2 linked regions of the Cricetulus griseus genome follow. The protein of the gene in region 2 binds, or shares a complex with, the protein of the main gene of each other region. Links are inferred from orthologs where the notes say so. Each region holds a gene or a part of one and is shown on either strand. Other genes may lie near its edges.

Region 1 (3,562 bases), on a different chromosome or scaffold from region 2:
CAAACACAGGGGACCCTCCAAGTCAGCCTCCACCTTCAGAGGCAGAAGACAAAACTCCCATTTAAAAGTGACCTGAGCCAAGAAGTGATGGCTCACACATTTAATCCCAGCACTCAGGAAGCAGAGGCAGGAGAATCTCTGAGTTCAAGGCCAGCCTGGTCTATAGATCAAGTTCCAAGACAGCCAGGGCTACACAGAGAAACCCTGTCTCAAAAAAAAAAAAAAAAAGAAAGAAAGAAAGAAAGAAAGAAAGAAAGAAAGAAAGAAAGAAAGGAAGGAAGGAAGGAAGGAAGGGGAGGAGGGGAGGAGAGGAAGAGACAGAAAGAAAAAAGAAAAAGGAAAGAGAAAGGAAGAAAGGGAGGGAGGGAGGGAGGAAAGGAGGGAGGGAAAGAGAAAGAAAAAAGAAAAAGAAAGGAAAGAGAAAGAAAGAAAGAAAGAAAGAAAGAAAGAAAGAAAGAAAGAAAGAGAGAGAGAGAGAGGGGGAGGGAGGGAAAGAGGAAGAAAAGGAAGGAAGGAAGGATGGAAGGAAGGAAGGAAGGAAGGAAGGGAGAAAGGAAGGAAGGAAAGAAGGAAGGAAGGAAGGAGGGAGAAAGAAAAGACTATCAGGAATTCAAGGATAGCAATTTTGAGGCCAGCTAGCATACTTAAGACATTGTCTCAAAAGCAGCTAAACTTGCCTGGTGGTAGTGGCGGCAGCACATGCTTTTATTTAATCCCAGCACTTGGGAGGCAGAAGCAGACAGAACTCTGTGAGTTCAAGGCCAACAGCTAGTTCCAGGACAGCCAAGGCTACACAGAGAAATCCTATCTCAAACTATCAAAGGCAACCAAACAAACAAAACAACTAAAATAGGGGCAGAGGAGATGCCTTTAAGAGCACTGGCTAGTCCTCCAGAGAATCTGGGTTTAGTTCCCACCATCCACATGAGGCTCACAACTATCTGTAACTCCATTTCTGGGGGATCCAATGCCTTGTTCTAGCCTCCTTGGGCACCAAGAAATATACAGACAAAAAAAACTGTCCATATACATGAAGAACAAGTAAAAAATAAAATAAGCTTTAAGGCTAAAATAGGGCTGGAGAGATGGCTCAGAGGTTTAAGAGCACTGGCTGCTCTTCCAGAGGTCCTGAGTTCAGTTCCCAGCAACCACATGGTGGCTCACAACCAACTGTAATGAGATCTGGTGCCCTTTTCTGGTGTGCAGACATACATGCGGGCAGAACACTGCGTACATAATAAATAAATAAATCTTTAAAAGCTAAAATAAAATAAATAGGGGGCTAGAAAGATGACTCGGTGATTAAAAGCACTGACTGATCTTCCAGGGGTCCTGAGTTCAACTCCCAGCAATCACATAGTGGCTTACAACCACTATGAGGCTGGGTGCCCTCTTCTGGCCTGCAGGCATACATGTAGGCAAAACACTATATACATAATAAATAAATAATCTTGCTGGGCATTGGTGGCGCACGCCTTTAATCCCAGCACTTGGGAGGCAGAGGCAGGTGGATCTCTGTGAGATCGAGGCCAGCCTGGTCTCCAGAGTGAGTGCCATGATAGGCTCCAAAGCTACAAAGAGAAACCCTGTCTCGAAAAAACCTAAATAAATAAATAAATAAATAATCTTTAAAATAAAAATAAATTGACCTGCAGATGCTATCATGTCCATTTCTAGCCTCAGAGGCCCAAATTCTTGTAGCAACTAACTTGGATTTTGGAAAAAAGTGAAAAACACCAATTCTTACCTGCCAACTTGGATGCAAAAGTCTCCTCGAATGGTCCCAGGTTTAGAGTCTGCAGGGTTGGTCTCTCCAAGCATCACCCGGCCTGTCTTCACAACATTCAACCCCTCCCAGACCTCCAAAGGACAAGAGAAGACACAGTCAAGGAAGAAAAACTTAGTAGAAAACCTGGCATCTAGTGATTCTAAACAAAAGAAAAAGGCTCCAGAATTGGGTCCTCTCATTCACTAGATTAAACAGAATGCCTACTTGTTCCAGGACTAGGGATTCTGGTCACCCTGCCCCTACTCTTATCCTTCCCAGATTCATTCATGTGATAGCCAGTGGCCTTTTGAAATGCTAAATATTGCCATTGAGGTAATCCCACCACTCCAGAGGTAGAGGCAGGTGGATCTCTGTAAAGCCAGCCTGGTCCACATAAGAGAGTCCCAGGAAAGACCCTATTTTGGAGACCCCAAGATGTTGGAGATGCCAGAGTCATGGGATACCTGCCAAGAAAAGCTGCATAAGGGGTGTGGAACCAGCTCAGGAGCTAAAAGTATATGGCAGTCAATAAAACTGAAAGGAGTGGGAGATCTGAAGAGTTCTTTGACATGAGACATGGACATACAGAGTTTGGAGTTTGCCCTGCCAGTTTTAGGTCTTGGTTTGGTCCAGACTATCTCTTCACTGTGCTCCCTTTTGGAATGGTAATATATATTTTGTGTCATTGTATGTTGGAAGTTGGTTATTTGCTTTTTTATTTTGATTATACAGGGGGTTACAATTAGAGAATGTCATGAGTCTCAAGAGAAACTGAACTTTTAAATAGTGCTGATACTATGATAGACTATGGAGACATCTGAAGTTGGACTCAATGCATTTTTGCATTGTGATATGGCTATAAACCTAAGGGGGCCAGGAAATGGAATGTGGTAGTTTTAATAATGGCTCCCATGGGCTTATATATTTAAATGCTTAGTCATCAGGGGGTAGCACTACTTAAAAAGGATTAGGAGGTGTGGCCTTGTTGGAGGAAGTGTGTCTTGAGGTTTCTTTTTCCTTTTTTTTTTTTTAAATTATTTTCACCTCTGAAATTGTTTCTTCTTTGTTTTGCTTTTTCTCTCCTTATTTATTTATTTATTTATTTATTTATTTATTTTTAGAGTTATTTATTACATATACAGTGCTCTGCCTGCATGCCAGAAGAGGGCACCGGATCTCATTACAGATGGCTGTGAACTACCATGTGGTTGCTGGGAACTGTGCTCAGGACCTCTAAAATATCAGGCAGTGCTCTTAACCTCTGAGGTTTCAAAGGTCCAAGCCAAACCCAATGGTTCCCTCTTTCTAATGCCTTCAGATCCAGATGTGGAACTCTCAGCTACTTCTCCAGCACCATGTTTGCCTGTGCACAGCCATGCTCCCTGTCGTGATGATGATAGACTAAACCACTGAAACTATGAGCAAGCCCCTAATTAACTGCTTTCTTTTATAAGAGTTGCAGGGGTCATGGTGTCTCTTCACAGCTAAAGAACAGGCAGACCCTGTCTCAAAAAGTCAAAATAAATAAAATGCTAAATATGGTACTTGCCATAATTTCTCAGCACTGGTGATTTAACAGCACAGCCCTGACATTATCATTATGTAGTCCCTGAACACTTCTCATCCTATCTTGCTTCTTACCACCACCCATCCTACCCTTCTTCTTGTACTTTAAAAAGCAAAGTTGTGTCTGGTATGGTGACGCAGGCCTATAATCCAAATACCCTGTAAGTAGGAGAATCAAAAGCTCCAAGCCAGCCTGAACTATTTGAGGCTAGCCTGAACTACACAATG
Region 2 (4,354 bases):
TGATTCAATGGCAAAGAGGTAATTTGCAGTCCCCTGTGTTTTAAAAAGGAACCAATACAATTGAAAAATTCCAGTTACACGGCCTTCATAAAAATTAACAAAATCTAAGGATATGTTAAATGGACAACTTAAAGAAATTATGCCATATTCACCCAGATGTCATGTTTTTATTTTGTACTTCCAGTTACTTAGAATAAACATTTATCGGCTTCCAAGTTCAACTATTATTTGATCTAAAAGAATTTACTGAATAAAATGCTCAGTTCCAATGTATGCGAAAAAGATAAAACTACCTTGGGGTGTTTACGATAGAGGAAGAAGAAACAAGAGAAAAGGATACTATGATAGTTGTGTGGATGAAGTTAAACATGAGTCCCTGTTGACAGTCATCCCCGTGATTTGTCCACAGCCACAGATATCCACGCTGTACATGAGGTCCCAGGGTGGCTCATAAGAAGCTGATAACCCAGTGGGAACCGGGGCTTTTAAGGTCTATTAAAAACGTAACTTGCTCGAACAAAAACAAAACCCAAAGCAACCGAAACACCTGGATAAATGCTACAGTTAGCGACTCCTTGGCAACTCAGATCTAACCAAACGACTGGTGGACGATGAGAAAGAAATCGTGCGACGCTCTCAACAAAACCTATAAAACCCGTAAATTATGTTCGGCTCTGCGAATCGGCAGTTACTAGCACCTTTCGCATTTCCTAATATTGTATACAGCTCTGCATCCGCAGCCTTTTCATTCATTTATTGCCCTACACAAGATCTCCAGTGGCTCTCGGGGAATCGCCTCTTGTAAGGCTGCCCTGGCAGGAGATCAGAATGCCAAGCTTCTGGGTCGAGATCCCGCCCTCGCTCCTCAGACGGTAGGAACATCATGCGCTTAGACTTGCTTATTTAATTGCGGGATGGGAGAAGATCTAGTCCGAAGGGATGCGTCGAGCAGGCAGCCCGGGGTGTGATCTGTCCTTCGTGCGCCCCCAGAACGCACGCCCTCCCTAGGCCTGCCCTGCGCCCGCGCGCCCCAGGCCTCGTCTGCCCGCTAAGCACCCAGAGGATGCCCCCGTGAGGACCCCGCCCCTCCCGCGTCCACGCACCTGCGGCCCCGCCCCGGCCACGAACCTTCAGGTCCACGCACCTGCCCTGCCTTCCCTCCCGCCCCCCGCGCGCAGCCACCAAAGCGGCAGCCGCGCTCCTCCTCGGTCGCCCGGGTATCTAAAGGGGTCCGTCTCCGGCACCACAGCCAAATGGCTGAGCCTCCCTGGCCCGCTGCGCAGGCCGCCCATTGGACCCTGCCCCCCGCCGCCGCCACCACTATTGGCTGGCATCAGAAGCCTCGCCACTCGATTGGTTCGTGCTGCCGCCACTCCACGCCGGAGCCGTAGGTTCCGCCTCCACGGCGATCAGGTTAGTGTGCGCCGCGGGTGCTGGGGGCTCGAGAACCGAGCGGAGCTGGTTGAGCCTTCAAAGTCCTAAAACGCGCGGCCGTGGGTTCGGGGTTTATTGATTGAATTCCGCTGGCGCAGGATCCTCTGCAGAGAGAGAGAGCGCGAGAGATGGATATGGACAAACGGATTCATTTAGAGCTGCGGAACAGGACGCCCTCTGATGTGAGCATTTGCCAAAAATATCTCTGTCGGTCCATTCTCCTACTTTGTGTTATGTGTGCGTGTGTTTTGGGGGGGAAGGCACTTTTTTATGGAGGTGGGCTCCGAGGAGGTGTAGGGTTTAGGGTTGGACTGCAAATGAATTGCAAGGTTGGATGGGGGGGGGGTTGCAATGCCATCGGAGCATGTTCTGGCCACCGCTGCCGCTGCCCTTGGTGTGTGACTGACTACCTGTGCGTGTGCTCCCGCGTGTGCGGGTATGGGTGCGAGGGTGTGCGTACGAATGTGCACCCAGCGGGGGGCCGGCGGGGCGCACGCGTTCGGGTCGGAGGGAACGCTGCGATCTCACCCTCGTCCGAGCTCTCAGCTCCCACGACTCGCGTCTGGATGGAAAAGATGATTGAGGGGAGGAGAAGATGGGCTGCCTCCTGGATTAAACAACAAAAAGGGGGTGTTATATTTTAGAAACGTACCCCCCTTTCCGCCCCCTCTCGCGCCTGCCCCCTCCCTTTGCCGTCTCTTTCGCTCGCTGGTTCTCTCGCACACAATAAGTTTTGGGAATCGCGAGTCCGGTTTAGTTTCTGATCAATGTGGCCCGAGGCCCCCGGGGACAGCGCGTGGGGACCCGGCTGCTGCGGAGTTGGGAGATGGCTCGAGTTTAAAGCGCGTCTTCGTTTCTCTGCGGGGATGAGGCGAGAGGTGGGGAGCCATATTTGTAACTTTGTCGTGTTCGTGAACGCGCCCTTTCTCTCCCTCCCTCTCTTTCTCTGCCTGCCTTCCTTCTTCTCCTTTCTCTCTCACTCTTTCCACCCCACCTTTGGGCCAGATGCTGTCTTTTCTCCCTTCTTCTTCGCGGAAAGGGGGGGGGTTACCTTAGAAGGAGGGGGAGGGATTGTGGAGTGTGCAAATGCTCAGATAATCCTCACGCCTCCCCAACCACGAGCGATCGCTAGTGTAAGTTGCCCAAAGGCTGCGTCCCGGTGAGCCTCTGGCCCCCGGCTACCTCCCCAGATGCAAGCCTTGGCACCCTGATACCCCAACGGCACCAGTTACCCCACCTCCGGGTCCCTGCTTCTCCCGGGGTGGGCTCCCTGGCAGCCATTCGGCGCCTGATTAATAAATGGGCACGGGAAACTTTATCAGGACCCGAGGTGCCCAGAGCTGGTGCTGCTTTGGGGACCGGCCGGGTCTACATTCTTGCGGGCACGGCTGGCACGCAGCTCTGGAATGGGCAGTTCGTCTGGCCGTAGCCGTTATGGATTGGGTAGCGGCGGGAGTATGGCAGGAGGAAACTTACACCGGTGGGAATAGGCAGGCTGGGCGCTAGCCCACTGCAATGGGAAGTGAGGGTGGGTGGGTGACTCGAACGCTACTGTTTATTTTTGTCTCCCTCTCGCTTTCACACACTCGTGTTGTCTGCGAGTTGGTCCATCCGAGAGACCCTAAGCTCTGGGGTGGAAACCCCGGCCGGCTTCCCTTCAAGGTCCGGTCGTGAGGAGAAGGGGCTCGCGGGCGGGAAGATCCTCTAGGTCCAGCCTGGGTGTTCGGGGTTCGGGCGAGTTGGGGGGCTCGCGCAGCACGTTGCACTGACCCTGTCGCCCCGCCAGCCACTTGGCCCCTCGAATCCTGACAAAGGCAGGCCTCGTTTCCTCTTTTCCCCTAGTTCCTCCCTCCAAACCTGAGTAAGACTTTTGAAAACAAGCTCCTTTCTGCCGTCCGCCCATCCTCACGCAGTTGTGCACTGGAGACGTGCTACAGCCTTATGGCGCGCAGGGCGGAGAGGAGGGGGCGCCGCCGGCAGCAAGTCCTGCCGCGGGGCACGGCCGGTGGCGTCCCGACCCAGCCCCGGTGCCCGATCCCGGAGGTGGAGGGGGCTGGGTGTGGTGCTGGGGGAGGGGGCCGAAGGCGGGCTTCCCGCGTACTTTCCGGAAGACCCCTGTATGTAGTTGGGGGGCTTCGGGGTCTCGGCGAGTAAGTGCGCATAAGCGCCGGGCCGGGCCGGGCCGAGAGACCCACAGTACTAGCCAACCCGGAGCGAATCAGAAAGCGGGTCGAACCGGCTCTTTAAACTTCCCCGAGTGTGTGCACTGGGGGAGGGGCGGGCGCTCCGGGCTGGGCGCGATTTCTCACGCTTCGCCCCCTCGCCTCGAGTCCCCGGCCCACTCGCCGGCCCCGGGGCTCCTGGCGGGGTGGGGCGCGCGGGTGGCGGGGGAGGGGGCACTTGCTGCACATGGGGGAGGGGAGGGCAGAAAGCTCTCGAAAGAGGGACAAAAGGGGTGGGGGAGGAGGAACTGGCTTTTTTTGTTGTTGTTTTTCTGGTTTTTTGTTTTTTCAAATAAACGTTTTTGGAAAGCAGATCGTTCCGGGGAACCTCCCTCCCCAGAGTATCCCCCACGCACCCACCTTCTGCTACCTCTCTCCCAAGTCGCATCTCGGGGACTGGTGGCCGCGACGCCGCTGAACTAGGACGAGCAGCCATGTTTCCCGGGGCGCCGGCGGCCCGCCCCTCCCCCACGGCGGCCGCGGACCCGACTCGGCGGGGACCCGGGTGCCCCAGCGGAGGGGATCCGGGCGCGCACAGGCGCAGCAGAAGCCCGGCGGCGCCGGCCTGGGGATCGGGTCTGAAGAGAGCGCGGCGGGCCAGGGGCCCTCGACCTGCTCGGACCTGCAGACCCCTGTCTGTCCTCGCCATTTGCACTGCTAGGCCGGCGGGAGACCCAGCCCCAGGGTGCCTGGCATTC

What was found. Proteins that work in one complex are often made in the same cells at the same time.
Region 1: Anp32a (region 2) and nucleoside diphosphate kinase A share a complex: the UniProt entries of both Homo sapiens proteins name them as parts of the SET complex. The link is inferred for Cricetulus griseus from reciprocal best matches to the Homo sapiens genes ANP32A and NME1.

The regions. Positions count from the first base shown.
Region 1 is NC_048600.1:106,872,407-106,875,968, forward strand, and holds part of nucleoside diphosphate kinase A, read right to left. Parts: intron 1,861-3,562; coding exon 1,748-1,860; intron 1-1,747. UniProt on the Homo sapiens protein: Major role in the synthesis of nucleoside triphosphates other than ATP. The ATP gamma phosphate is transferred to the NDP beta phosphate via a ping-pong mechanism, using a phosphorylated active-site intermediate.
Region 2 is NC_048597.1:173,857,889-173,862,242, forward strand, and holds the start of Anp32a (acidic leucine-rich nuclear phosphoprotein 32 family member A), read left to right. Parts: upstream 1-1,538; 5' UTR 1,539-1,562; coding exon 1,563-1,616; intron 1,617-1,844; coding exon of another isoform or gene 1,845-2,041; intron 2,042-2,159; coding exon of another isoform or gene 2,160-2,292; intron 2,293-2,910; exon of another isoform or gene 2,911-4,005; intron 4,006-4,016; coding exon of another isoform or gene 4,017-4,305; exon of another isoform or gene 4,306-4,354. Other genes in the region: uncharacterized protein LOC113835543, read right to left, coding at 1,507-1,538, 1,845-2,041, 2,160-2,292, 4,017-4,305. UniProt on the Homo sapiens protein: Multifunctional protein that is involved in the regulation of many processes including tumor suppression, apoptosis, cell cycle progression or transcription. Promotes apoptosis by favouring the activation of caspase-9/CASP9 and allowing apoptosome formation.